7 linked regions of the Macaca fascicularis genome follow. The protein of the gene in region 6 purifies or fractionates together with the protein of the main gene of each other region. This does not show direct contact. Links are inferred from orthologs where the notes say so. Each region holds a gene or a part of one and is shown on either strand. Other genes may lie near its edges. The genes, in order: NCBP1, HNRNPR, CRNKL1, TOP1, U2AF2, HNRNPC and SF3A1.

Region 1 (3,897 bases), on a different chromosome or scaffold from region 6:
TTTGAAATCAGTGACGGTCTTTTATTGTTTATTAGAACTAAAAAACATTACACAAATATCTGTGTATAGATGTGAGCGTACCATCTATTTAGCATTTGAGGTAAGGCACCAAGGGATTGCTGTACTTACATTTTTCTATTTTATTATAAAATATTTTTCAGATGAAGGATTCAGTTTTAACCCATTGAAAATAGAAGTCTTTGTACAGACTCTGCTACACTTGGCAGCCAAATCATTCAGCCACTCCTTCAGTGCTCTTGCAAAGTATGTATGAGTACAGAGCCTTTCTTGAGGGTTTGGAACTTTGCTTCATGAACACCAGTGGTATAGTAATTTTTACCTAAGATTGTTGAATATGAAGATCTTAATAATGTATAATTGGATACAGTGGGTTTGGGTTTGTGGTAGCTAAAATCTGTATCCTAAGGCTTCCATCAGTCTGTTTGTACAGTTGGCATATGTACATGGTAAGCGCTTTTTTTCATATAGACATTTAAAGTAGTGAAAAACCTAGATTTTTAGGACAGTCATATGCAGTTGGAAGTTCCCACGCTAAGTATCTTTGCCAAGCAATGTAAGAAGAAATTAGAATCAGCTACATTGTTGGGAGCCACCCAAAGGTTGACATCTAAAGACAGATATTTTTAACTTGTTAGACAGGGTCCAAAGGAAGAAAGAGCACATAGATTTTCCTCCAACCAAGCAGAGAAACTGAACATCTCACCCCATCTCTGCCTCCAAGGCTTTATGTTACTTGCAGGGTTCCCACAGAAGATGCAGTTTGAATATTCCACCATGTTTGAAGACAGTTCCTTAGTCCTTACCTATTCTTATAAACTGTAGCCCTGGGCTAACGGTAGTATATTGTAAATGTCTTGAGATTTTGTGACAGCTTCCTTAAAAACTATGAATCTCTAATCACACTTTTTGCATCCTTAATGGTTAATACTTACAGTTATTTTGCATTTGCATATTGCATTATAAATTGAGTAACATTGAAAAGGCTTTGAAAACACTGAAATGTTTAACGAATAAGTATATATGATATTTTTTTCCCACCATTATCAAAAGGTTTCATGAAGTCTTCAAAACCCTAGCTGAAAGTGATGAAGGGAAGTTACATGTGCTAAGAGTTATGTTTGAGGTCTGGAGGAACCATCCACAGGTAAAAATTATTTAATTAGACATGTTGAAGCTCTGATTATATAGGTATAAAAATAAGGCCGTTAATTACTACTGTTTTGTTTGTAAAACATGAAATTTGACTCTGCCTAGATAATGGTTTTTAGATCTAATTCTTTCAGTGCTATGGGAGTAATGATGTTTGATTCATTCTTGAAAGAGCAAGCATTATTGTGATTTGGTTTTGAACTATAATATCTCAACATATTTTAAATGTTCAGCAAGAAGTTTATCTAGTCTATCCAATTTCTAAATACAAGCTCCAGATTTCTCAAACCTTGATATATATTGTGTATTACAAAGAAACATTTAAATAAATTTCATAAAACAGTTGAGTTTTTAATGATAAAACATTGTTTTACATTTAACTTCTGAGGTTCCTCGAAATTATATATTTTTTTGAATAGGTATTAGTAACTGAAATTTAAATTTTTTTTTTTTTTTGGAGACAGAGTCTCACTCTGTCACCCAGGCTGGAGTACAGTGGTGTGATCTTGGCTCACTGCAACCTCTGCCTCCCGGGTTCAAGTGATTGCCCTGCCTCAGCCTCCCGAGTAGCTGGGATTACAGGCATCCACCACCACATCTGGCTAATTTTTGTATTTTTAGTAGAGATGGGGTTTCACCGTGTTGGCCAGGCTGGTCTTGAACTCCTGACCTCAGGTGATCTACCCGCCTCGGCCTCCCAAAGTGCTGGATTACAGGTGTGAGCCACCATGCCTGGCCAGTTTTTTCAAATTTTAACTGTTACCATTCAGAGTTTTTGTTTAGTCAACCTGTTTCTTGTAGTGCTAGAGCAAAGCAAAGGGAAGAATAAATCTTAAGATCTAATGATCAGGCAGGGCGCGGTGGCTCTTACCGGTAATCCCAGTGCTTTGGGAAGCTGAGGTGAGTGGATCACTTGAAGCCAGGTGTTTGAGACCAGCCTAGGCCACAGAGTGAAACCCTGTCTATACTAAAATAACAAAAATTAGCCGGGCATGGTGGTGCACACCTGTAATCTCAGCTACTCAGGAGGTTGAGGCAGGAGAATTGCTTGAACCTAGGAGGTGGAGGTTGCAGTGAGCCGAGATCGTGCCCCTCCACTCCAGCCTGGGTGACAGAACAAGACTCTGTCTCCAAAAAAAAAAGACCTAATGGTCAAATTGATCAATCAGTTCTACAGCCATCAAAACTAGATTTTATAGCCCTAGCCCTCCTATTTTACTTTTATGGTAGCAGTGTCGTGGCACATATACGTGTGTATGTGTGTGTGTGATTTACTTGAATAATTCTTCTCTCATTGTAGATGATTGCTGTACTAGTGGATAAGATGATTCGTACACAAATAGTTGATTGTGCTGCAGTAGCAAATTGGATCTTCTCTTCAGAACTGTCTCGTGACTTTACCAGGTAATATGAATTATTTTATGAAACTTGTGTTCTCTAAGAATTGATATATGTGTGGTCTCTTATACATAAGCTTCAAATTCTGGTCCAAACCAGGTTGATATTAATATACTGTGATCCAGTCTGGTCGGATTGGACATGGCAAAAATTCCTAGACAGTGGAAACATACACAGCCTGCATCTCTTAGCAGGGGCTCTTAGCAGGGACTCTCTTAAGTTGCAGCATCTCTTAGCAGGGACTCTCTTAAGTTGAATCAAGACTAAGCTAGTGAAGTAGAAGTCCTGTTGAAGGATCCAGACTGTTGGGAGAGAAAACTAGCAAGAGCCAGCTATGTGCAGAGTCTCAGCTAGTCCAGATGGAAATCAGGAAGTGTTCCAGCTTCTGTGGGGATGGCACCTGGAATGCACACCAGGAAGTAGGAGAAACCAAAGTCAAAGTAGATTAAATCATGGAGGTATCTGGGAAGGCTTGGTGATTACCAAGACGCCTGAGGGATGGGGGAAAAGGGGTTGTCACCACAGTCATAATCTTAGGTTTAATGCAGAAGACTCATTCTGCACTCATTCCCCCTAAAGGAAAGAGTTTTTGCTGTTTGGTTCTTATTTGTGAAGTTCACAGACTTTACAGTTGATAGGACCAGGACAGCAGGAGTTGACACAAAGCAGGAAACTAAAGCAAATTACTTGTAAAAACATAAAAATCCATCACAACCTTTAACTTTTCCACTGTATCTGTTATTGCCAGAGGACACTGATCTGAAATATACTGAATTGTTAGGGTGATAAGGTATGATCTAAGGTTGTCATACCAGCCAGGTTGGCCTTCACAAATAAAGACAACAGAAGGACATTTTCAGATTTGTAAACTCCAGAAAACTAACCACCCGAGTATGTGTTAACCGTTGTCCTGAGTGATTTACATTTTCAGTTCATTTTATCCTTACCGCATCACCATAGAGGAGGTTCCATTATTGTCCACATTTTACAGAATAGGGAAGTGTCACAGAGTGCTTTAGCCTGCCCAAAGTCACACAACTAAACACAGAGCCAGCATTCAAACCAGGCATTCTGGAATCTGTGTAGTGCTCAGCAGCTCCATCTGTTCTTTTAACACCTAGCTCAAATATTTGTAACTCTGCAAACCTTTCCCTGACTACAGTCCACCCCCTTCAGAGTTAAAGTGCTCTGCTCTTTTGTCCTGTTTCGTAACATTCTAGACTTGGAGTTTTATGAACAGATTGTTTTATTATCTTCCACTTAAACTATTATTTGGGTCAAAATTTGTAGAAGGAAGTACAGTTGACCCTTGAACAACATCAGGGGTTA
Region 2 (4,376 bases), on a different chromosome or scaffold from region 6:
TTTTCTGAATTTGGAAAACTCGAAAGAGTAAAGAAGTTGAAAGATTATGCATTTGTTCATTTTGAAGACAGAGGAGCAGCTGTTAAGGTAGAAATTTTGAAATTTTGGTTCTTGATATTTGAATTTTGTTTCTGAAACCTGCCAAACACGTAAAGTAATGTTAAAAACTGAAGTAAAATTGACTGTTAGCTTTTGCTGAACTCTTTCTATTTAATCTCTGTTAAGTGGTAATAGTATAACAGATAAGACTCCATATTTCAAAGCCAGATTATTACTGAATTTGTGATCTTAGGCAAGTTATTTTTAATCTCTATTGTTTTGTAAGATTTGATAGCATGATGCCTTGGAAGTATTACAAGGTATAAAAATTAGCTGCTGTAAACACTAAATAGGTAATGAATATATTATAACTACTTAGTTTACCTCAGTTTGTGTACCTATGAAGGAAACTGAGTGGTGTACATGACTCATACAGTATTTGAGTAGATGTATTGTGATGAGGGTATGATTAGTTTTACCTTTATTTAATCATTTTAGAGTTAAAATAGCATTCACTATGTTTTACTGATTTCAGTAATTGTTAGAGATAACTCTTGTGTATAATAGTTGATTTAGTCTTTGATGATAATAAGTATGAAGAAAGTATTTTCATATGGTATTTGGAACACAAAACCTGCTTTCTATTGACAGTGGGTTCGGACTATCTTTAATGGGTGAAATTTTCAGTTTCTTTTTCTTGTTCATCTCTCCTTCCTTGAGGGGATGGGAAGCAAGACAAAACACTACTAAAATCTTTTTTATGTTACTGGGAAGATAGATCCAGAATGCTTAGTGACACAGGCATGGTTCTTTTTTGGCATGTTTGGTTGGTGGGATACTACCGCCTCTAATTTGAGCATTTTTTGGTTTTGTTTTTTGCCCAGGGTGCTGCTTTTAAAACAGGCTTTCTAGAATCTCTGACTCGTTTATAGTTAATCGGCTTGCTCATTGATGATAGCTAATTAATGAGGCAGTATTGTTCATAAAATTCATAACTTGTCCAAGATCACAAACTCAGTAATAATCTGGCTTTGAAGTATGGAATCTTATCTGTTATACTGTTACACTCTTATCTGTTAATGTGTGGCGTCTGAAATTTTTACTGGTATAGAATGCAGATAACTAATAATTTTATGCTTTCCAAATATTCCTCCTGACTCAACTGGTTTTAAATAACTGGTTGTCCTGATGGAAAATATTTATAGGATGGTTTGCCAAGGAAGCCTATTAAATTATAAAATATCTAGTCCAGGAACTGGGAGTCACCAGGATGGTCGGGGCAGAGAGTAGATGTTTCATTTTTTAATTTATGCCAGGAAGCTTTTGTAAACTTGTTTAGTTGCTTTTACTGAAGCAGTACAGGGAAAATTGCAATCTTGAGGACTAGTTTCATTTTTGTCTAGATACTTATAAATCACTAATAGCTCGTTATAAATAGAACATTTTTTTATGTGTGCCCAGAGTGGGGAGAAAGGTATAGGGAAACAAAAAATAAAATATGAGGAGGTGACATTTTGTTACTGAGTACCTGAACCTTTTGATGTATGGCAGAGGTTGTTGGGTGGAACAACATGAACAAAGGGCTAGAACATGGAATGTTTGATTACTGCTTTCTACGTAATTGCTTGAGTCTTCATTAGTCCAGGCCTTTTCTGGCTCTGTACTTTAAACTGTTCAAGCAAAATACATTTCGAGTTAAGCATTGTGAGGGAAACCTAGGTTTTTTTGTGTTGGTATCTTGAATTTTACAGATAATCTCACTCTGTAACCTCATTTGTGCTTCAGATCCTTGAAATTTTTGTATAAGAACAGTGTAAGACCTGTATGTTGTATGCTACATGTTTATTTAAAAATTCTAATCCTGAAAAGTTAATCTTTGGTTCGTATTAATATTGGCATTTTTCCCTGGTATGGATTTGCTTCTTTGGTGTGGATTTGCTTCTTAGGTATGGCTTATCTTTTAAGGAGTTAGTTATTTGGAATTAAGGAGCAGCAATAGGTGGCAGCCCTTTTACCTTTTAAAATACAGTATCAGGAGGTAGGTTTTGTTCTAAATGTCATTTACATATAAAAAGATAAGGTCTAGGGAAACGTATTTTCTTTGTGTTTGTGTTTAACTTTCTGGCTAGATTCACCTTTTGGCCATTTAAAATAATTGTGCAGTAAATTATTAAGTATATTAAATGAGTCAAGTATGATAGCATGCACACTATATAAAACATATAGTTTTATATCATAAAATAAATTAATTTTTCAATTTTTTATAGGCTATGGATGAAATGAATGGCAAAGAAATAGAAGGGGAAGAAATTGAAATAGTCTTAGCCAAGCCACCAGACAAGAAAAGGAAAGAGCGCCAAGCTGCTAGACAGGCCTCCAGAAGCACTGCGTGAGTCTACCTTTTAGTAGATATGTCTTTGGACAAGGAATCTCCATTTGATAATGGAGATTGGATTAATAAAACACAATCAGAGTCTTGAAGCAAACTGATTTGTTTTTTCTTTTCTCCCTTCCCTCCTTTGCTAGGTATGAAGATTATTACTACCACCCTCCTCCTCGAATGCCACCTCCAATTAGAGGTCGGGGTCGTGGTGGGGGGAGAGGTGGATATGGCTACCCTCCAGATTACTATGGCTATGAAGATTACTATGATGATTACTATGGTTATGATTATCACGACTATCGTGGAGGCTATGAAGATCCCTACTACGGCTATGATGATGGCTATGCAGTAAGAGGAAGAGGAGGAGGAAGGGGAGGGCGAGGTGCTCCACCACCACCAAGGGGGAGGGGAGCACCACCTCCAAGAGGTAGAGCTGGCTATTCACAGAGGGGGGCACCTTTGGGACCACCAAGAGGCTCTAGGGGTGGCAGAGGGGGTCCTGCTCAACAGCAGAGAGGCCGTGGTTCCCGTGGATCTCGGGGCAATCGTGGGGGCAATGTAGGAGGCAAGAGAAAGGCAGATGGGTACAACCAACCTGATTCCAAGCGTCGTCAGACCAACAACCAACAGAACTGGGGTTCCCAACCCATCGCTCAGCAGCCGCTTCAGCAAGGTGGTGACTATTCTGGTAACTATGGTTACAATAATGACAACCAGGAATTTTATCAGGATACTTATGGGCAACAGTGGAAGTAGACAAGTAAGGGCTTGAAAATGATACTGGCAAGATACGATTGGCTCTAGATCTACATTCTTCAAAAAAAAAAATTGGCTTAACTGTTTCATCTTTAAGTAGCATTTTGCTGCCATTTGTATTGGGCTGAAGAAATCACTATTGTGTATATACTCAAGTCTTTTTATTTTTCCTCTTTTCATAAATGCTCTTGGACATTATTGGGCTTGCAGAGTTCCCTTATTCTGGGGATTACAATGCTTTTATGGTTTCAGGCTTCATTTTAGCTTCAAAACAAGCTGGGCACACTGTTAAATCATGATTTTGCAGAACCTTTGGTTTTGGACAGTTTCATTTTTTTGGATTTGGGATAGATTACATAGGAGTATGGAGTATGCTGTAAATAAAAATACAAGCTAGTGCTTTGTCTTAGTAGTTTTAAGAAATTAAAGCAAACAAATTTAAGTTTTCTTGTATTGAAAATAACCTATGATTGTATGTTTTGCATTCCTAGAAGTAGGTTAACTGTGTTTTTAAATTGTTATAACTTCACACCTTTTTGAAATCTGCCCTACAAAATTTGTTTGGCTTAAACGTCAAAAGCCGTGACAATTTGTTCTTTGATGTGATTGTATTTCCAATTTCTTGTTCATGTAAGATTTCAATAAAACTAAAAAATCTATTCAAAACATTACCTATTTCAAATTCAATTGTGTCCTAAAACATTATTTTATTCGTAATCCTTGCAAGGAATATTGTTTTCAAAGTATAACTGCCTATGTGAGTGATCAAATTCATGCAAAATTTCTTGTCTATTCCAACATGTATTGTGGATATTAGACTGAGGATTAGTCTAAATTCAAGTATTTATTCCAATTAGCACTTCATTGATTGGTGTTCTCTCATAGTCTCTTCTAATTTTGAAATTTTATCTTTTATTTAAAAAAAAAACAGGTTCATAGACTTTTGAGCATTCTTGCAGGCATTGGATAATTTGTGTTAAAACAAATAAAATGTGGCTGGGAAAGCAGACTGCAATCTATTTTGACCCACATTCTTTATAAGGGATAATTTGTGACTGAAGACCTTATTTGCTGGATAAGTGAATGTACATACAGGGAAAACTGTTAGTACTGTGGCGTCAATTGCACTGCGGACTTTAGTTTTAGTAAACGTGATTGTGACTACCATTTCAGTTACTGGTTTAGGAATATAATTTCC
Region 3 (4,355 bases), on a different chromosome or scaffold from region 6:
AGAAACATCTTTTTAATATATTTTATTTTGTTAGGTGGCTTTATGAAAGTGATATAAAATCTTCTCTATTTAAATTTTGAAAAGTGAGATCAAATATCTAAATAATATGGTTAATAAAGAGTTATGGCAAAAATACTGATGTTGGTTATAACTGCAGTTCTAGAAATCTGCATCAATCTTTTTTTGAAAGCAATAGCTGCATTGGTAGACGTGATATTACTACATACACAATATATATTTTCCCCAAAAACCAAAAGAGCCTTGCAACTATGAAAATTATTCTAACAAATGTGCTGCCAAGTCGTGTCATTGTACATTTGTCCAAACTCATAGAATGTACAGCACCAAGAGTGAACCCCAACATGAACTACGAACTTTGAGTGATAATGATGTGTCAATGTAGGTTCATGATTGTAACAAATGTACCGCTCTGGTGGAGGATATTTTTGAGAGTTGGAGGCTGTTAAAGTGGGGAAGAGGTATAATAATTGATGGCAGGAAGCTGTTGAGGGGGGAAATCTCTGTGCCTTCCACTTAATTTTGTTGTGAACCTAAAACTTCTCTAAAAATTTGTCTATTAAAAAAATTCTTTTAACTTTTGCTTAATTTTTCCGTTTTTGAGGGCAGGTTAAGTATTATAATAGCTACATTTACTGAGCATTTGTCTTTAATCCTAGTGAAACAGATGGTATTACCCTTGTTTTATAGTTGAGGACACTGAGGCTAAGAAAATTTGAGTAATTAAGGCACACACAGAATTTAAACATATTTCTTATCACAAGACTGAGTTGTTTTCTAGTTACTCTATTTTTTACTTTCATTTTGTCCTAATATCTGGCTTCTAAGTACCTTCTGTTATTTTTAATTCCAAGCCTTAGAGTTAATTATTTGGGCACAACTGTCCAGAAACCAGAAACGAGGGGGCGTGGACCCAGAGACTACAAGACCTAGAATGCAATGCAGAGCCAGACAGCCTAAAAGGGCGGCAGCTCGCCCCTTCGCATACTGGGAATGGTAGTTTCCTCGCTCTCCCTTCGTTCCCCCGCCCCTCGAGCATCCAGATTGGAGCTTCGACCCTACTCCCTTGCAGGGCGCCACGGCTAGACAGAGCCTCTCTTCCTTGCCTGGTCATCCCAGTTCTGGAGGCTGACCTGGGGATACGCCCTTGACGCCCTGAATCGCAGTCCTCGCGTCGCTGCTAGTCAGGCCGGCGCTACCCACCTCACGCGCAGCTCCAGGACGCCGCACTCCGCGCGCTGCTGTAAGGAGGACGCGCAGCCTGGTCCCCATGGAAACGGTGCCACGTCCGTCACGGCGCATGCGAGAGGTCAAAGGTCAGCCTGGCGAGTTCCGCTTCCGATTCCGGGATCCTGTTTGTTGTCGGAAATCTTTGTGGTTTCGGTGAGCTCTCAGACCGCGGATTTCTAGCTTTCGTGCGGGGGACAGGTGCCCCGAGGTCCGCTGCTGCAGACATGGCGGCCTCCACCGCGGCCGGGAAACAGCGGATTCCCAAAGTGGCCAAGGTAGGCGATCGCGAGGGGCCTTGTGGGAGGTGGCCCAGGAGAGGGGCATCCCTCAGCCCTGGGGGTGCCCCGGGCGGGAGACAGTGTTCCCGCCGGGGAGAGGGCCCACCCTGAGAGATGGAGAGGAAGGGTCAGCTGGTGGTGGGGCGCGGGCTCTTGTCATCGCGGAGCACGATGGGGTGGTTTTGCAGGGAGGAGGAGTGGAGTGGTTCAGTGAAGATTTACTGACCCAGGCACTGCACTGGGCGCTGGGAAGCTACGCTCGGACGCTGGCCAGAAGCAGTACTCAAAACACGAGTGTGTGTATGAGGACGATCTTGCCAGATGTTACTGAGAGGCAAAGTAGAATATGCCATGGGCGTGAATAAGGGGGTCGTATGAAGGGTTCCTGAGAGTAAATTTTGCTGAGGAAATGACCTTTAAGCTGAGACTTGAAGACTGAATAGGAGTTAGCCCAGCTGACAGCGGAGGGTGAGAATAGACGGCAGTAGTAGTATAGTATCATAAGTTAATTAAACAGTAGATTTACTAACTGGTATTTCCCTCGATAGCTGATACTTACGAAGTGCTTAATATGTGTCAGAATTTGTCTGAAGCCTTTACAGATATCCTCCCTCCAGTCTTTCTTGAGCCCAGATGACTCTCTTGAACTGGACCTTTACGTAACTATTTGTCTGACTCGCAAAAGTAATGCATGTAGAGCAAGTAACAGTGTGTCTGGCACTTAGTGCTTATTAAATATGAGCTATCACCATTATCATTACTCCACACGTGGCATTAAATAACAATTTTTATAATTCAGCTACGTACACTTTTATTGGGCATCACCGGTCCAATGGAAATACAGTGCACAGCACATGAAATTTTAAATTTTCTCCTATCTACATTAAAAAGTAAAAGCAAAGCAAAAAAAGTGACATTAATTTTGATAATATATATTTTATTTGAACTAATGTATCCAAAATATTATAATTTCAACATGTAATCGGTATAAAAACTGTGAGATAGTTTGTTCTTTTTTTCATACTTCATCTTCAAAACCAGTGTGTATTTTACATTTACAGTCCACCTCAATTTGTGCTCACCACATGTGACTCATAGCTACTGTGTTGGACAGCACAGCTCTAAGCTACGTTAGACTGTAAACTTCTAAGACCTCAAGAAACTTACAGTCTAATGATGGGAACTTATTGAATAGTGCCTTTGACTTGAGGTTCCGTGAAAAACCATACCCACTTTTCCACCAGGGGCATTAAATAAGTTGAAGAATTCTGCGAATGCAGGTGGTAATGCTATTAATAAGATGTGCTACACATCTTGATAAACCCTCTGGTCAGAATTTTACCTACACAGCCTCAAAGTTTATTATTATACTCATCTAAAAGGGAAAACTTGGTATTATTTTTGCCACCTTTTTCTCTTGAGACTTTTACCTGTGGCTTTGTAGTAGATACCATGAATAAGAGAGAAAACATAGTATTTTTTTTTCTTTTTAGTCTCATGGAGGATGGGAACATGTCATACAAAGAGAGCATCTTGTGATAATACTAATGAAGTTCATATCCTAAAAAATGTATGTTTGTTTCTTAAACCTTGTGTGAAGAGCATCTACTAAAAATAGAAATGTCTTGTTCTTAAAAGGTGAAAAACAAAGCCCCGGCTGAGGTACAGATAACTGCTGAACAACTCTTAAGAGAGGCTAAAGAAAGAGAACTTGAGCTTCTTCCACCTCCACCTCAACAGAAGATCACAGATGAAGAAGAATTAAATGATTATAAACTAAGGAAAAGGAAGGTCAGTCAGTGTGGTATCTTTCAGTCCACTAATTGTTAAGAGTGTATCAGTCAGAGTTTGAAAAGCTGGTTGGATTCTGTAGGGCAAGATGAGGTTAGTGTTCCTAGACACATGAATAATGCCTTCTGGTTACCAGATAACAGCATTTTTCTGAACTATATAAAATATGCCTTGAGTTGTCTGGTTAAAGTATAAAACAATTGAATCTGCATAATTTTTGGTACTGAATCAAAAATGGGTGGAAGTTTAGCAGGTGAAACAACGGACAACTGGAAGGGGGTATGCTTAGTAAGGCTGGACTGTGTACTTCTGTCTATACCACCTTCTGTGTTAAGAAATGAGATCTGGCCGGGCACTGTGGCTCATGCCTGTAATCCCAGCACTTTGGGAGGCCAAGGTGGGCTGATCACCTGAGGTCAGGAGTTTGAGACCAGCCTGACCAAAATGGTGAAACCTCATCTTTACTAAAAATACAAAAATTAGCCGGGCGTGGTGGCAAGTGCCTGTAATCCTAGCTATTCAGGAGGCTGACATGAGAATCGTAGGAACTCAGGACGCAGAGTCTGCAGTGAGCCGAGATCATGCCACTGCACTCCGACCTGGGCGACAGAGCGAGACTTTGTCTCAAAGAAAAAAGAGAAGAAAGGAAAAGGAATTGAGATCTGCAAAAGGACTATGAGAAGACTTTGGGATCTGATTTGACCTCTTCACTCTAGAATGTGGGACTGTTTTAAAGCATGAATTCTGTTATATATGAAATTCTGAACGTTACCAGAGGACTTACGGGTAATAGTCAAAATATTTTTTATTAGGGACAAGCATAGACTATTTCAAAGTATCAGTTAGTTGATTGTAACCTTCTGTAGTGGATTTCTTATTCCTCAAGGATTCCAGGATGTAATTTCTCTTAAATATGAACAAAATGAATAACCAGTTTAGTACAAGACTTAAAATAGACCAAGGGTGCTGTCATTTTTAGTCATTTGCCCTTTGACTTGACCCTTTTTGCCTTCTTCCAGACTTTTGAAGATAACATAA
Region 4 (4,340 bases), on a different chromosome or scaffold from region 6:
TTTTGTAGAGTCGGGGTTTTGCCATGTTGTCCAGGCTGGTCTTGAACTCCTGGGTTCAAGTGATCTGCCAGCCTCAGCCTCCCAAAGTGCTAAGATTACAAGTGTGAGACACGACCCCCGGCCAGCGTATTGTATTAATCCAAGCAAGAGAACGCGGACTTCAAAGGCTTATGGGCGGCAGAGAGAAGTAGATGGAGTGAAGAGAAGTAATCAGCGGGACTGGTGGGAAATGAGGGAAAGGAAGGTGTCAGGATGGGGCTTTTTCTAGCTAAGTAGAGTTGAGTTCATCCCCAGAGAAGCTTGAGAGGCATCCAACTATAGATGCAAGGTAGGTGGTTGTTGGTGCCTTGTCTTTAAGACAGTTTGCCTTTTGTAAAACAGGCGACCTCACAGAGCTATTGTTCAGAATTCAGAGCTGGTCACAGAATAGATGCTCTATAAAAGGTAGTTCTATTCCCCATTTGCTCCGTCCTCCCAGCATGCTAGGGATACAGCCGCGGATAGAGACAGGTTCAGTTCCCTTTGGTCTCTTGCATTCCTCCTCCCCTCAGCACAATTCCTGGGCTCATAGCAGATGCTTAGTAAGTATTTGTAGAATGAACCAAAGAAATCAGACCCTTGGTGACCCAGGGCTACATGTACTCGGCGGAAAACTGGGGCTAAACCGGACCCTTGGTTGGTTGAAAAATTAAAATAATTTTTAACAAGTGGGCGTGAAATACTCCAGAAGTTGGAGGGCTTGGACAAAGGCTGGGGAGGGGACTCCTCCCACCAGGCAGCCTCAGGGCCGGCTTAGCAAGAAAGGAGGCGCCGGGGAGACCTCTGGGGTCCCAGCTGCCAAGGTACTCGCTGCTCCAAATAGATGGGAACGCGGGACACCAGCTCGCCCAAGATCGCCTGGGTCCCGCCGCGGCCTTTAAAGGCCCACCACGTGGCTGCGCGGCCAGCCCTGGCCCGGAGGCGGTGCCCGGGTGGCGCCTGCGCACTGCCTAGCAGAGGGGTCGGGGTTCCGAGAAAAGGCGTCGAGAGAGGAAGGGGAGGCTGCTTGGGGTGGGACGCCGTGGGAGGAGTCGGCTCCTTATGCAAATCACAGCGGCGCGCGCACGGTCCGGAGGCGGGGCTTGCGATGCGAAGCCGGGTCCGTCAGGCGAACCGTGAGGGGGCGGGCCGCAACCCTCGGCCTCTTTCCGCGATCGCTGACGTCGTCGACGTGTTGTTTAAAAGCGACCGCGCAGGCGCAGTGAGCCCAAATGCGAACTTAGGCTGTTACACAACTGGTGGGGTCTGTTCTCGCCGCCCGCCCGGCAGTCAGGCAGCGTCGCCGCCGTGGTAGCAGCCTCAGCCGTTTCTGGAGTCTCGGGCCCACAGTCACCGCCGCTTACCTGCGCCTCCTCGAGGCTCCGGGGTCCCCGTCCGCCCGCACAGGCCGGTTCGCCGTCTGCGTCTCCCCCACGCCGCCTAGCCTGCCGCCGCGCTCGTCGCTCCGGGCCGACATGAGTGGGGACCACCTCCACAACGATTCCCAGGTACGGCCCGGCCTGACCCCGGCAGCCCTGGACCCCAGCCTGGCCGTCCCGCGACCCCCGGCGCAGGCCCCTACCCCAGCCCCGGCCCGGCCGCTTTGACAGGCCGGGGCCCCCGGCGAGGTGCCGCCCGCCGGAGTAGATCGGCTCGCTAGGCCGCGAACAAGGGCCGCGAAGTTACAGTGCGAGGGGGGATGGTTGCCCTCCGTGGCTACCCCCGGGACCCCGTCCTCCCTGGGGGCGCAGGGTGGGCCAGACCCCCAGCCGCGCGCGCTCGCCGCCAGAGGGGTTAAAGTGGCTGTTGTTTGATATTCTCTCCTTTTCTTTTTCCAGATCGAAGCGGATTTCCGATTGAATGGTGAGTGTGCCCCCTGCCCCGACCCCGGGGCCCCCCAGCCGCCGGCCGCCTCCCCCGCGCCCTGCCGGTGCCGGGCAGAGGACAGACATGGCGTCCCAGAGACTAAGTCCCGGCTCCTCGCTCACCGGCCCCATTGTTCCCATCGGGCCGCCTCTTGACCCCCTTTCCGGGGACCCCAGCTCCCCCAGATCCCGGCCCTCCCAAGAGGGGGCAACGGAGACCCGGTGTCGTCCGCCACCCGGCCTCGGGCGGTCTTTCCGGGCCGGGATTCCTCCCGGGAAAGTCGCCTTGTCGACGGTCGGGACTTAGTCTCTGCGCCATTTTCTTTTTCTCTCTCCTCTCCTTTCTGTGCCTGTGTCTCTTTCTCTCCCTCCCTCGGCTCCTTCCTTGAGCTGCCCAGAACGAGATTTCTGCAGAGCAAAGCTATATAAATCACATACTTCACCAGAGAGGGAAGGATGGGGGACTGAATTATTATTTTTTAAACTTTATTTTGGGGGTTATTCCCTTTCTGCTTCATGTTTGTTTCCTTTTTTGCTTCCAGAATGAAAGATTTCCTTAGGCAACTGTTAATTTTTTTTTTTCAATAGGATGTTTATGATAGGAATTATGGCTCTAAAACTAAAGTCACCGTTTGTGGAGTTCTTTACGTTTCCAGGTTGTTTTTTCCCAAGTTACGTTCTTTGCAAAGGTAGCAGTACCTCACTAAAGAAAGTTTGCAAGTTCTCTGTGGGTCACCCAATGTAAATGTTGGATTTTTAAAAAATTAAACTGTTAGTGACTGGAACTTTTCATTGTGGCTGAGGTTCCCAATGCAGTGTTTTTTTGGAAACGCAGTTTAGTTTGTACTTGTTGGAAGGAAAGATTGTTGAGCATCTCTTGTGGACCTGGTGTGGTGGCCTTTTCGTTTGGGCTGTAGGGAGGAAAAAAGGATTTTATTTATTGAAACAAAGAGTGTCCAGCACCCACCCCTGCTTCCTGTTCATTCTTTTTCACGAGCCACTGTTTTTCAGGAATCAAGAACTAGCTTGTTTTTTCCAATTCTTTATGTTTTTGAACCCTTTTCAGTCAAATCAAGGCATTTATTCTTTGTGTATTTCCACTTCAGTTACCCAGGGAAGATTCCTCCAATAAAAAACTCATCCTTGCAGGCTTTCAAACAACCCTGTTGAAGGAGAAGGTACCTTCTGTAGTGTGCTGGGAATTCCCACTGATTTTGATGGTGCATAATCCTGCTCAATTGAGTCTGGGTTCCGGGAACCTCTCCAATGGGAGAAGCTGATGAGTAGGTTTTCTAGTGTTGTAATCAGCAGTCCATCATGTTAGCCTGCTCTACTGAGAGCAACCTTATGTTCAGAGTTTGAAGTGGGGCATCCAGCAGGAGAGAATCTGGTTTAAAGTATGGCATTTCTTGAGCACCAGTTATGTGCCAACCACTGTGCTTAGTGTAGAGCTGATCCTGTAACCACAACACTCCTTTGCTCTCAATTCAGTCTATTGGGGGAGACATTATTAGTTAATTATAAGGTAATTACTGGGGCATATGTGTACCCAAAATGCTTTGAAGTATAGGGGACTTAATTTTATCTGAAGATGGGGAAATTTCTCAGAGGTGACTTCTGAGCTGAGGGTTGTGGAAGACTGGACGCAGAGAATTGTCGGGTTGGAGTGTTTCTTAAGTACATTTAACCAACCTATCACGATTTTAAAAGAGGGAGGAGGTGAGGCCTGCAGTTTAGAAAACCACAGTATAGACGTGTTTCTTTGGGATACAGGGGCAAAGAAAGGATGTGCAGGTGAGGCTGTAAGAAGTCCTTTTGACTTCGCTAGAGGAAGGTGGGATCTTAATATAGAATGTATTCTTTTGGCTGTCAGGCTGGGCTGAGTAGGTAATGTAAGTAATGAAACAAAGTTTAGCCCTTTCTTCTTGTGAGAAAGTTAACTTACATGGTTCTCACCTAAGTCACGTGAATGATTGTGAGCTGGTTAGGTTATTGATCTTTACTGACATATTTATAGAGGCTGAAGTAATCTGCCTATGTTGACTTTTAGAAGTGTTGGCTCACATTTAATAGCAATAATAGCTATTATTTATTGAATACTTACTGCCAGGCGTGAATCTCAGCTCTTTCCATGGGTCATCTAATTAGATGTAATCCTTGGAAGGACCATCGTGAGTTAGGTCCTATTATTTCTATTTTGTAGATGAGGGAACTCAGGCTTCAGTGTATTTACTAGCTTGCCCAAGGGCCGTGAGTTGACCACTCTAAATCCCATGAGCTGAGCCACTATGCTGAAGTGATACTGTATGATACTAGCATGAAAAAATAAAAAGCCGCAAATCTCTGTTTTCTTACAGAGCTGAAAAAGGAGAGAGGGAAGGAAGGATTTGATAATTTGTCATTTGCTTTTTATCTAAACATGCTTCTTCAAAAGAAAAAGCGCTTTGACTGTCTCCC
Region 5 (3,897 bases), on a different chromosome or scaffold from region 6:
CTCCAGTGCTTTTCTTGTTGTTGTTGCTGTTGTTTTTTGAGACGGAGTCTCACTCTGTTGCCCAGGCTGGAGTGCAGTGGCACCATCTCGTCTCAGTGCAAGCTCCGCCTCCAGGGTTCAAGCAATTCTCCTGCCTCAGCCTCCCGAGCAGCTGGGATTACAGGCACCTGCCACCATGCTCGGCTAATTTTTGTACTCTTAGTAGAGGTGGGTTTTCACCATGTTGATCAGGTTGGTCTCGAACGCCTGACTTCAGGTGATCCACTCACCTCAGCCTCCCAAAGTGTTGGTATTACAGGCAGGAGCCGCGGCGCTCAGCCCAGTGCTTTTCCACCATGACTTTTGGTAAATTCAGCTAACCTTTTAGAGCCTGTGATGTATGTTGACATGCTCCAATCTGAATGGACTTTTTACATATGGGTGCGTTTCCCCGATCAAGCTACAGAATCTCTTCCCCACATCTCTTCCTGGTGACTCCACTGTGTTTTCGTTCATTTTAAATCCTGTGAGTGGCCCGCCACTTGCTGGTGCTTACTGTGTGTCGGGCACCGTCCTAAGTGCACTCCACGGATGACATTCCTACGATACAGGGATGGCAAGTTACGATTGAGAGGCCAACTTTGACCCACTGCCTGTTTGTTTGTTTGTTTTGAGACGGAGTCTTGCTCTGTTGCCCTGGCGGGAATGCAGTGGTGCGATCTCAGCTCACTGCAACCTCCGCCTTCCAGGTTCAAGCGATTCTCCTGCCTCAGCCTCCCGAGTAGCTGGGATTATAGGCATGTACCACCATGCCTGCTAATTTTTTGTGTTTTTAGTAGAGACGGGGTTTCACCATGTTGGCCAGGCTGGTCTTGAACTCCTGACTTTGTGATCCACCCGCCTCAGCCTCCCAAAGTGTTGGGATTACAGGCGTGAGCCACTGCGCCCGGCCACTGCCTGTTTTTTTGTAAGTAAAGATTGGTTGCGGCACAGCTAGCCTCGTCGTGCAGTGCCTGCTTCCGGGGTAGGGACGTGGTGGGCCTTGGGGAATAGGAACGGTGGGTTATGGATCTAAGGTTGTTTCTCTTACCGGGCTGAGGGGCTTGACTCTTCTGAAGGTGATGGGGTGCTCTGGCAGGGGCTGAGCTGAGGGCGACCCAGTGATAGCAGTGGCTGCCGAGCTCCTTTCAGGCGTCCCCTGGGCCGAGATGGCCTGGTCACCATGGGAGGGGACATTCCTCCATCTTACAGATGAGAAAGAGCTTTAGGACAGTGGGAATCCCTGCTGGGTCTTCCCCATACCATCTTTGCTCCAGGTGTGATGCTTGATAGATGCAGCCGCTGAAGAGGTATGGGGCCCTGTTTCCCCGCCCGACTCTTGCAACATCCTTGCCAAGTAGGGCTCGTCCTCCTCAGTGATGAGTGTAGGAACTTGAGGCTCCGAGAAGATTCCTTTGAAGTAGTTGTCATGTAACAGCGGCTGACCCCACTGACAGTGCTCACAGTGTGTGTCTGGGCTGGGCTAGCCCTGTTGTGGGCATTGAGTCTCACAGATGCCCGGGCCACGGTGACGGCCATGCCTGTTTTCACGTCCTCTATTGAATCAGCACTTGGCCCGAGCTGTTCTCACACACGTGGCTCGCACGACAGACGCCAGTATTCTTCCCATTCTACAGATGAAGACACTGAGGCCCTTGGAGCCTCATACGGTACAAACATGACTTGAACTCAAGGAGCCATGTACCCAGAGAGCCCAACTCTTGCACCCTTGGCCCTGTGTTGCTCAAGTGAGACGTGTAGAGCCCGGGCTCGAGGCCGAGCTTCCAGTGTGACCCAGGCACAGCCTGCAGCCTGCCGTGCTGCCTGTGGAGAGTCACAGCTGAGTGTGGGCTCTGGAGGCTGTCTTTGTCCTGCCTCTGTGGCTGTGCTCTGTGCCTCAGTTACTGCCTTCTGTGCTGTAACAGCATTGCAGTAGGAGACTTGAAAGTCTGACAGGATGCCTGGCCCTTGGGGTGAGTGCTTGGTGTGTGTTCCTGCTCCCGGGCTGCTGCTACTTGTCGCTGTAGCATAGGAGACCGGTCTCCTGGGGTCTTCGGGGCCCCAGTCTGGTGTTTGGAGCCGGCTGGGTTGGTGCTTCCAGTTCTCTGGTGGCGGCGTCATCATGGGCTGAAGGGGCTTGAGCAGGTAGGAGAGGGTGCGTGGGGGCGTCTCCCTCTTCCCATGGGCACAGCGGCTCAGCTTCTGAGGGTCCTTCCCATGTCTTGTCTTACCTGTTCCTTTCCAGCATCAGGATGGAGGTGGGATGGGGCCACTCACACCTGGTGTGGGGGCTGCAGAGGAAGGGGAGGCCACATGGCCTAGGCTTTGAACTTGGGAGTCAGGCTGGTTGGTTACCGGGTCCTGGCATAGCTGGTATCTGACAGGACGGCGTCAGGATACATTGGCAGAGCCTGTGAATCATCCCACCAGCAGGCACTTGTCTGTGAGTCCAGAGTTCAGCGGCTAGGGCAGGATCAAGGGCCAATCAATTCAGCTGATAAGCCCCCACCCTGGTATGTCAGCCCTCGAAGACATTGGATCCTGCATCCCACAGTCAGCCCCGAGTTCCCAGTGAGATCAGAGCGGCTAATGCTGCGGATGCTGCTCTGAGACTTGCTGAGCAGCCTCAGCTCCTCATTGTGCCTTGCCACCCGTGAGGGCAGGGGCGCCCCTGCAGTGGCACCTGAGCAGCCTCGGCTCCTCGTCGTGTCATGCCACCCATGAGGGCAGGGGCGCCCCTGCAGTGGCACCTGTTGTTCTGGCAGGGTGTGAAGGGAGGAACTGAGCTTTTTTTTTTTTTGAGACGGAGTCTTGCTCTGTTGCCCAGGCTGGAGTGCAGTGGAGTGATCTCAGCTCACTGCAGCCTCCGCCTCCTGGGTTCAAGCGATTCTCCTGCCTCAGCCTCCCGAGTAGCTGGGATTACAGGGTCCCACCACTACGCCCAGGTAATTTTTGTGTTTCTAGTAGAGATGGGGTTTCACCATGTTGGCCAGGATGGTCTTATCTCTTGACCTTGTGATCCACCCGCCTTGGCCTCCCAGAGTGCTGAGATTATAGGCGTGAGCCCCCCATGCCCGGCCGGGGATAAGCTTTAATGGGAGCCTTGCCTGGGTGGCTGTCAGAGAAGGGGTGGAGTGTGTTGGGACTCAGCAGTAGGTCCCGAGCCCAGGTGAGCTGCCAGCATTCCACAGCAGCAGGTGGCAGATGTGGGTGTGAACTTTGTGCCTTCGGAGCGTTCTGGAGGATGTTCTAGTTTGAGGTTCCCTTGAGGCTGGGCAGATTTGGGAGACAAGGTGCGTTCTCCCCAGGGAGCCTCTGTGCCACTGCCCAGGACCCTCCCTCGTCAAATCAGGCTGGGGTGGGATGGGCATGTGGCGGCCCCTCCCTCGTCAGATCAGGCAGGAAGTGTTCTTTTTGGCGATGGAGGAGCTTGCCATAGGCTGTCCAGGTGTTTGAGAAGATAACCTGGTACTGGAATTGAAGTTCTTCTCTCCTCTGCCCATAGGGGTTGTGTCCACTGTGGTCCCTGACTCTGCCCACAAGCTGTTCATCGGGGGCTTACCCAACTACCTGAACGATGACCAGGTAACCTCCGTGCCTCCCTCCAGTCCCGTGCCCCCCCGGCCCCATCTCAGCCCAGCCCTGATAGACTCTCGGCCGCTGCAGGTCAAAGAGCTGCTGACATCCTTTGGGCCCCTCAAGGCCTTCAACCTGGTCAAGGACAGTGCCACGGGGCTCTCCAAGGGCTACGCCTTCTGTGAGTACGTGGACATCAACGTCACGGATCAGGTGAGTCCCTGGCCCCTGGCCGCTGCCGCGTCTGTCCTTCCCTGCCTTGCGTCTGTTGCCAAGCCGTGGTGTCCCCTCCTCGGGACGGGG
Region 6 (3,897 bases):
TAAAAGTAATGGCAAAAGGCACAATTACTTTTGCACCAACCTAATATTAAGTGCTTTCCACAGCTTCATTCAATATCTGCTTTCCTACAGAATTAAATGTATAGTTGGCCCTCCGTGTTCGTGGGTTTTACACATGCAGATTCAGCCAACTATAGATCGAAAATACTAGTAAAGAAAAAAAAATTAAAAAGTAACAATACAAATAAAAGTAGTTACAACTATTTACATACCATTTACATTTTATCAGGTATTTTAATGTAGAGATGATTTAAAGTATACAGGAGAATATGCATAGGTTACATACAAATACTATGCCATTTTATGTAAGGGACTTGAGCATCTGCAGATTGTGGTATTCACAGCTAAATAGACTGCTCTGTGCGGGGAAAGAGGCCCTACAGTGAAGTGAAAAGTAGACACTTGATTGTGGACTAATTTTTCCAGTATTTCCCAAAAACTTACAGCTAACAACATAATATTAAACATGTTTTATTAGCATCTTATACATCTGACACTCTCTCCTAAGCATCCAGTTTATTTTCTAGTCATGGGTTACTTACTAAAAGTCTATGTAACATGAGCTCACATCAGATCAGAAAACATCAAGTGGGTAGTATTTTTGACTGAATTAACATACAAAAGAAATTGCCTATATCATGTATATGGGCTCCAAGGGTAGTTCATAGTTCAGCCTCTTCATTCTTTTCTGCTTTTGTCACCTGATATAGAAAATGATCTATAAAATCCTTATAAATAAGACATGAGTTTCGCCTGTAATGAGTAGGATGAAAAAAGGCCAGTGCTGCATGCTATGAAACAATAGCAACTTTATAGGGGAATCCAAGGTTTGTGTGCACAAAAATTATAAACGCCATTTTCTGCTGTGCTGGAAAAACTGAAGTTTAAAACACAAATCAATTAAGCCTTTCAAGGATGAGGTATCACAACACTGGTAGCTGTTTAATATATTCATTTTAAGTAAGACTGGATGCTAAAAATACAATAACTGTAATTAATAAAGTTGAGGGAAAACACAAAGATCAGCTAATAGGGGTAAAAGATCATTTAGGGTAAAATAAATGTAACATTCTTTATGTTCTCAATCACCTGGGAAGGCAAGACTGTGGAGTATCAGGAAATAAGAGTTTTCTCGTTTTCAGTAACATGGAGATATACACTTCAGAATTCAGAAGGTAACTGAGGCTATAAATAGTAATTAAAAGAACAAAACAGAAGAAAGCAGGGAGTTCCATTGTCCAGCTGTTGCAATTTTCCTGAAATCTTGTTTTTGAGTCTCTCCTATTTAAGGACAAAGCAATTTAGCACACAACAAAAACCTCAAAAAGGGTGCCAGTTGGACCACAAAGCACTGAACTTTCATTAGGATGTAAAAGCCATTTTGAAAAACAATCGCCACTGTATGTCAAGTTATTTGACTCCTCAATGCAACATGCAACTCAATGAAATATAATTTGAGTAGTGTTGTGTTGGTATGTATCATGATTATGACTCCAAGAAAAATGTATCTAGTACATTCTAGAGGTTTTGTGGAGGACGCTGTAAAACAAAGTTTGAAGTAAACAATAATAAAATACAAAAATAAAAAACCAGGGTTTTTTTTCTCCAAATTCCTGGTTTAATAAGGACTTGTTTATTTTGAGGAAAAAAGGTCCCAAACATCAGGCTGTTCACAAAAATAACCCACAGTATCAACTTTAGAAAACAAATCTTAAGACTATAACACTAATTATTTTTCTAGAGGATGCATTTGACATGCCAACTCTCATTCACAAAAATACATTGTTACATTTGTGTTGAACTGCCCCACACAGCACACTAATGTGGGGGTGTAACACACATACTTCTAACTCAAAGCTGCTTTCAGAAGCTACTCAACTAAATGAGATTGCCTTTGCAGTTAGGGAAGCAACTACTGAACTTATGTATGAATGAAAAGAACTGTACTCCCTGCATAACAAGAGATTATTTTGGAGACAGTTGATAAAAACCATACATCCTTTTTATTGTTAAGTCATAAAGAGGTATCAAAATTAAAAGCAAAAATTACAGGGTAAGACTTAACAAAACTACTAGGAGCGTCAAAGGAAGTGAAAATGGGACTAGGCGCGGGGCAATATGAATTAATGAACATGGGAAGGACAAGGATGGGGAGAACAGTGAGCATGTGCTGAAGATACTAGGGGAGAGGATCTGGTGAAAAATTTGATCTTAGACAAGCGCCTAGGTAAAGAAATAATGGGATAAGATTTCTAAACCCCACTATGTGCTTAAGAGTCATCCTCGCCATTGGCGCTGTCTCTGTCATCCTCTCCTTCCTCAGCCTCTTTTTCATCATCCTTGATCAACTCCAGCTGTGAGAAACAGACACAAATAGGATGGAGTTAGAGGCACTCCATGTGTCCCTGAGCCCCCCTCCACCACCTTTTTCTTTCCTTTCCCGTGGTTTTCACCTGGTCATCCCCCCGATCTTCATTATCATCATCATCCAGTAGGTCCCCCTCCTCAGCAGAGTCATCTGCACCCCCCTCAGACTCCATCTTCACATTAGTCTCATCTTTCTTCACGGAGCTGCTGCTCTGCTCCTCTTCTGACTTATCGTTCTTCATCTCTACTGGGGATGAGAAGGACAAGTCTGTCTAGGGGCAGTAATGTCCACAGGATGTAGACAATCCCCACTAAGGATCACAGAACTGCAGCACAAATCTAAATCCTCCCACACAAATACCCTTCCCAATTCACACTCCCCAAGTTTCATATTACATTGCTTTATATTCCACTATTCCAACATATACTTTAAAGTGCCTTACGTAACTAACCCAACTATATACCCAACAAGCAGAAAACCCATTTACCTGCTTGTTTGCTCTGTTCCTTTTCAATTTTTTCCAGGTTTTCCAGGAGAGAATCCACTTTTTGTTTTATCTGGGTCAACTCCTTCTTAATGGCCTGAAGGTCATCTCCTTTCACTTTAACATAAACAAAATAATGGATTAAAATCAAATGTACAGAAGATATGAGTTAGCAAATACACTGGCACTAGACTACATCAGGAGCACCCAGGGAGAAACAGAGCCAGTACAGATTTCCCTGTAATAAAGGCCCTTGGTTCTACTATAAAGCTTATAACTACTTACTGTAATTTTTTTTTTTTTAGTATCTTTTAGACTTGGGTTATCGCTACATTGCCCAGTTCTGAGTGCAGTGACTATTCACAGGTATGATCACAGTGAACTCCTGGCCTCATGCAATCCTCCCACCACAGCCTAGATCCCCAGGGTCTTAGCCTCCCCCTAAGCATCTGGGGCTACAGGCGTAAGTCACTGCATCAGACCTTCTGTTGTTTTACTGCCTTCCATATTTCCAGTTACAGGAGTTCAATACAGAAAAGTTTAAAAATCAATATATTGAACACTATCTGAATTTTAGTTTTTAAATAACCCACAAAAAAACCCTCAGAAACTTAACACACACCTCAACTAAATAAAGTCAAATGACATCTTTCAAATCACCTAGCTGTTGCAGTCTAGAATTGGCCACTCAGTCACAATCTCGTCTCCTCCATTATTTTGGATTTTTAAAATTATTTTTCTTGAGATGGAGTTCGCTCTTATCACCCAGGCTGGAATGCAATGGCACAATCTCGGCTCACTGCAACCTCTGCCTCCTAGGTAAAAGCGATTCTCCTGCCTCAGCCTCCCAATTAGCTAGGATAACATGCATGCACCACCATCCCTGGCTAATTTTTTGTATTTTCAGTAGAGATGGGGTTCCTCCATGTTGGACAGGCTGGTCTCGAACTCCCGACCTCAGGTGATCCGCCTGCTGGGCCTCCCAAAGTGGTGGGATTACAGGCATGAGCCACCACACAGCTGGCCT
Region 7 (3,000 bases), on a different chromosome or scaffold from region 6:
AAATCCCTCAACAGCCACCGCCACCATCTTCAGCCACCAACATCCCCAGCTCGGCCCCACCCATCACTTCAGTGCCCCGACCACCCACAGTAAGCCAGCATCTACCCTGCAGCTGACTTTTTAGAGCTTTGTTCTTGAGGTCGGACAGTGTTGGCTGAGACGGGCAACTGCCTTACAGTGTGGGGTGGGTCAGTTTGAAAGAGAAAGAGCCCTTTAAATGCAAGTGGGAACCTCTAGCTTAATCTGTTTGTGGAGGAGGGTTGGAACAAGGAGGGAGGTGAGAGGCAAATGTGAGAAACCAGTTAGCGTCAGAGAAGGGCTGCAGGGCTTATTGGGTCTGTGAGGACTGCTGGCCTGTCTCCAGGAGATTTAGTCGAGGTCTCAGCTCCTCTCCCTATTTTTTTTTTTTTTTTTTTTTTCTGAGACAGAGCTTCGCTCTTGTCGCCCAGGCTGGAGTGCAGTGGCACGATCTCGGCTCACCGCAACCTCCGTCTCCCGAGTTCAAGTGATTCTCCTGCCTCAGCCTCCCAAGTAGCTGGGATTACAGGCATGCGTCACCACGCCCAGCTAATTTTGTATTTTTAGTAGAGACAGGGTTTCTCCATGTTGATCAGACTGGTCTCGAACTCCTGACCTCCGGTGATTCGCCCACCTCAGCCTCCCAAACTGCTGAGATTGTAGGCATGAGCCACTGTGCCCAGCCAAGGTCTCAGCCTCTTTAGTGACTCTTTCAGTGATTGCCAAAGTAGCTGGTCGAATTTGACCTGCCAAGTCCCAAGCAGAGAGAATGTCATTCTCAGGCTCTCAGTAGCTCAGTTCCTGTTGGACGCCCAGTGTGAGGCCACAGTTTCTCAGTCCCAGGGGGCCAGGACGGAGCTGTCTAACCTTCATCCTCAGAGCTGCAGGCGGCCAGTTGCCAACTGTGTGTGCCCTTGGAGTCCAACTTTGGCTTCCTGTAACTTGTGGGTCTCTTTCCTGCACAGATGCCACCTCCAGTTCGTACTACAGTTGTCTCTGCAGTACCTGTCATGCCCCGGCCCCCAATGGCATCTGTGGTTCGGCTGCCCCCAGGCTCAGTGATCGCCCCCATGCCGCCCATCATCCACGCGCCCAGAATCAACGTGGTGCCCATGCCTCCCTCGGCCCCTCCTATCATGGCCCCCCGCCCACCCCCTATGATTGTGCCAACAGGTCAGTATCTCTTGCATCACTTTCCAGGCCATTAGGTCAGGGACCACAGGCCAAGTACTGTCAACAGAGCTGTGGCTGATGCTAGTGCGAGCTGTTCCAGCAGGGTGTCCAGCCCAGAGGAGAGGCCCTGGCTTCCTGTGTGAAAGATCCGCAACCCTAGAGCTGGGAGCTACCATTCCTGGTAGAAATGGGAGGCTAAAATGATGTAGCCGGTGTCTGCATTCAGGGATCAGGTCCCTAACAGGCTCAGAGGCCTGAGAGTTGCTTGTTGCCTGGCACTAGCTCCATCCGTCAGTCCTGCCCCTCCTGCAGTCCTCTGCTATCCAATCTGGGCAGCCTCCCAGGTCCCCCTGCTGGGGAACCTGCTGGCTGCCAGACTCATCAGGGAACAGCACTTCACACCTCTGACTAGAGGAAACCTTTGCAACCTCCTCTCTCAACTTCTCATCAGCCCTGAGTCCTGGGCCCATTCTGCCCTCTCATGGGGCTGCTTATTCTTATCTTTGCAGCCTTTGTGCCTGCTCCACCTGTGGCACCTGTCCCAGCTCCAGCCCCAATGCCCCCTGTTCATCCCCCACCTCCCATGGAAGATGAGCCTACCTCCAAAAAACTGAAGACAGAAGACAGCCTCATGCCAGAGGAGGAGTTCCTGCGCAGAAACAAGGTATGTGATCCCAGAATGCTGCTCAAGTTTCTAGCTGGAGGGTTCAGCCTCGCCCCTGTCGTACACTTCCCAGACTGACCCTATTTTACTCCCAGTCTTGGCTTCTGGGGCGTAGGTCAGCCGCTGGAGGCATCTAAGGGCTTCTGAGCACACCGTGAATGTGGGGTCAAAAATTAGAGGAGCAGAGAGCATTGGTGGTGATGGTGATGGTGGTGGTGGTGATGGTGGTGGTGGCAGAGGTGGTAACTGTGGTGGTCCCTCTGGTGTAGACTTAACAGGCCAACAGGGAGACCCAGCTGCACGGACAGCACAACTCAGGTGTGAGAGGGACCCTAGACCCCTGGAGGAAATTGTGTGTGGTGTTTTAAAATTTACTGTGGCCTTCCTCCCCAGCTCTAGCCCTTAGGAGGTCTGCCTGTTGGGTGGGATCCTGTTGGGGTCCTGCAATAAGGGGAGGTGGGGACCTTGTCACTGCCAGTCCCTAGAGAAGCTGTCAGGCTGCAGTGAGGATACAGAAACAGCCCCAGCTTCTGCTCCCCCAATGTCTTTGACCAAATTGTTTGTTTGTTTGTTTTTCCCCCGCAACCTCTGCCTCCCGGGTTCAAGTGATTCTTATAACTCAGCCTCCTGAGTAGCTGGGATTACAGGTGTGCATCACACACCCAGCTACTTTTTGTATTTTTAGTATTTTAGTAGAGAGGGGATTTTGCCACGTTGGCCAGGCTTGTCACCTGGCCATAAGTGATCCGCCATCTTGGCCTCCCAAAGTGCTGGGATTACAGGCGTGAGCCACCGCGCCCACCCTGTTTGTTTTTTAATAATAGTTCCCATTTCTTAAATGCTTAACTCAAGTACCAGGAAAGAGCTAAGTACTTTACAGATACTTCCACTCAATACTCAAAACAGTCATTAATCCTCTCTGATGGATAATGACATTGAGGCTCAGACAGACCTTGTTAGCTGGGAAGCTGAATTGGGAATCCAGGTCTTCTGACCCTGCAGGTCATATTCTTTTCCCTTGGGATGTGCAGAGTATTTTCACCAAAGTTCTTCACTTTAGCTCCAGACTCAGCAGGAGACAAGATAGAGATTGTTTTAAAGAAAAGAAACCTAATCTTGCAAGGGGGTAGTGACTTGTACAACCG

The links.
Region 1: the proteins of HNRNPC (region 6) and NCBP1 purify together in Homo sapiens (co-immunoprecipitation; 3 studies listed by BioGRID and IntAct, with this or other methods). This does not show direct contact. The link is inferred for Macaca fascicularis from reciprocal best matches to the Homo sapiens genes HNRNPC and NCBP1.
Region 2: the proteins of HNRNPC (region 6) and HNRNPR purify together in Homo sapiens (affinity purification with mass spectrometry; 3 studies listed by BioGRID and IntAct, with this or other methods). This does not show direct contact. The link is inferred for Macaca fascicularis from reciprocal best matches to the Homo sapiens genes HNRNPC and HNRNPR.
Region 3: the proteins of HNRNPC (region 6) and CRNKL1 purify together in Homo sapiens (co-immunoprecipitation; 3 studies listed by BioGRID and IntAct, with this or other methods). This does not show direct contact. The link is inferred for Macaca fascicularis from reciprocal best matches to the Homo sapiens genes HNRNPC and CRNKL1.
Region 4: the proteins of HNRNPC (region 6) and TOP1 purify together in Homo sapiens (affinity purification with mass spectrometry; 3 studies listed by BioGRID and IntAct, with this or other methods). This does not show direct contact. The link is inferred for Macaca fascicularis from reciprocal best matches to the Homo sapiens genes HNRNPC and TOP1.
Region 5: the proteins of HNRNPC (region 6) and U2AF2 fractionate together in Homo sapiens (co-fractionation; 3 studies listed by BioGRID, with this or other methods). This does not show direct contact. The link is inferred for Macaca fascicularis from reciprocal best matches to the Homo sapiens genes HNRNPC and U2AF2.
Region 7: the proteins of HNRNPC (region 6) and SF3A1 fractionate together in Homo sapiens (co-fractionation; 3 studies listed by BioGRID and IntAct, with this or other methods). This does not show direct contact. The link is inferred for Macaca fascicularis from reciprocal best matches to the Homo sapiens genes HNRNPC and SF3A1.

The regions. Positions count from the first base shown.
Region 1 is NC_088389.1:60,461,281-60,465,177, reverse strand, and holds part of NCBP1 (nuclear cap-binding protein subunit 1), read left to right. Parts: intron 1-161; coding exon 162-264; intron 265-1,071; coding exon 1,072-1,165; intron 1,166-2,470; coding exon 2,471-2,574; intron 2,575-3,897. UniProt on the Homo sapiens protein: Component of the cap-binding complex (CBC), which binds cotranscriptionally to the 5'-cap of pre-mRNAs and is involved in various processes such as pre-mRNA splicing, translation regulation, nonsense-mediated mRNA decay, RNA-mediated gene silencing (RNAi) by microRNAs (miRNAs) and mRNA export.
Region 2 is NC_088375.1:211,810,487-211,814,862, forward strand, and holds the end of HNRNPR (heterogeneous nuclear ribonucleoprotein R), read left to right. Parts: coding exon 1-87; intron 88-2,306; coding exon 2,307-2,428; intron 2,429-2,565; coding exon 2,566-3,178; 3' UTR 3,179-3,846; downstream 3,847-4,376. UniProt on the Homo sapiens protein: Component of ribonucleosomes, which are complexes of at least 20 other different heterogeneous nuclear ribonucleoproteins (hnRNP). hnRNP play an important role in processing of precursor mRNA in the nucleus.
Region 3 is NC_088384.1:67,252,828-67,257,182, forward strand, and holds the start of CRNKL1 (crooked neck-like protein 1), read left to right. Parts: upstream 1-1,358; 5' UTR 1,359-1,472; coding exon 1,473-1,523; intron 1,524-3,164; coding exon 3,165-3,317; intron 3,318-4,336; coding exon 4,337-4,355. UniProt on the Homo sapiens protein: Involved in pre-mRNA splicing process. As a component of the minor spliceosome, involved in the splicing of U12-type introns in pre-mRNAs.
Region 4 is NC_088384.1:97,136,232-97,140,571, forward strand, and holds the start of TOP1 (DNA topoisomerase 1), read left to right. Parts: upstream 1-1,248; 5' UTR 1,249-1,493; coding exon 1,494-1,526; intron 1,527-1,856; coding exon 1,857-1,881; intron 1,882-4,340. UniProt on the Homo sapiens protein: Releases the supercoiling and torsional tension of DNA introduced during the DNA replication and transcription by transiently cleaving and rejoining one strand of the DNA duplex.
Region 5 is NC_088393.1:63,619,856-63,623,752, forward strand, and holds part of U2AF2 (splicing factor U2AF 65 kDa subunit), read left to right. Parts: intron 1-3,523; coding exon 3,524-3,807; intron 3,808-3,897. UniProt on the Homo sapiens protein: Plays a role in pre-mRNA splicing and 3'-end processing. By recruiting PRPF19 and the PRP19C/Prp19 complex/NTC/Nineteen complex to the RNA polymerase II C-terminal domain (CTD), and thereby pre-mRNA, may couple transcription to splicing.
Region 6 is NC_088381.1:88,872,685-88,876,581, forward strand, and holds the end of HNRNPC (heterogeneous nuclear ribonucleoproteins C1/C2), read right to left. Parts: intron 2,988-3,897; coding exon 2,874-2,987; intron 2,633-2,873; coding exon 2,472-2,632; intron 2,373-2,471; coding exon 2,289-2,372; 3' UTR 474-2,288; downstream 1-473. UniProt on the Homo sapiens protein: Binds pre-mRNA and nucleates the assembly of 40S hnRNP particles. Interacts with poly-U tracts in the 3'-UTR or 5'-UTR of mRNA and modulates the stability and the level of translation of bound mRNA molecules. Single HNRNPC tetramers bind 230-240 nucleotides.
Region 7 is NC_088384.1:21,328,993-21,331,992, forward strand, and holds part of SF3A1 (splicing factor 3A subunit 1), read left to right. Parts: coding exon 1-89; intron 90-983; coding exon 984-1,191; intron 1,192-1,700; coding exon 1,701-1,855; intron 1,856-3,000. UniProt on the Homo sapiens protein: Component of the 17S U2 SnRNP complex of the spliceosome, a large ribonucleoprotein complex that removes introns from transcribed pre-mRNAs.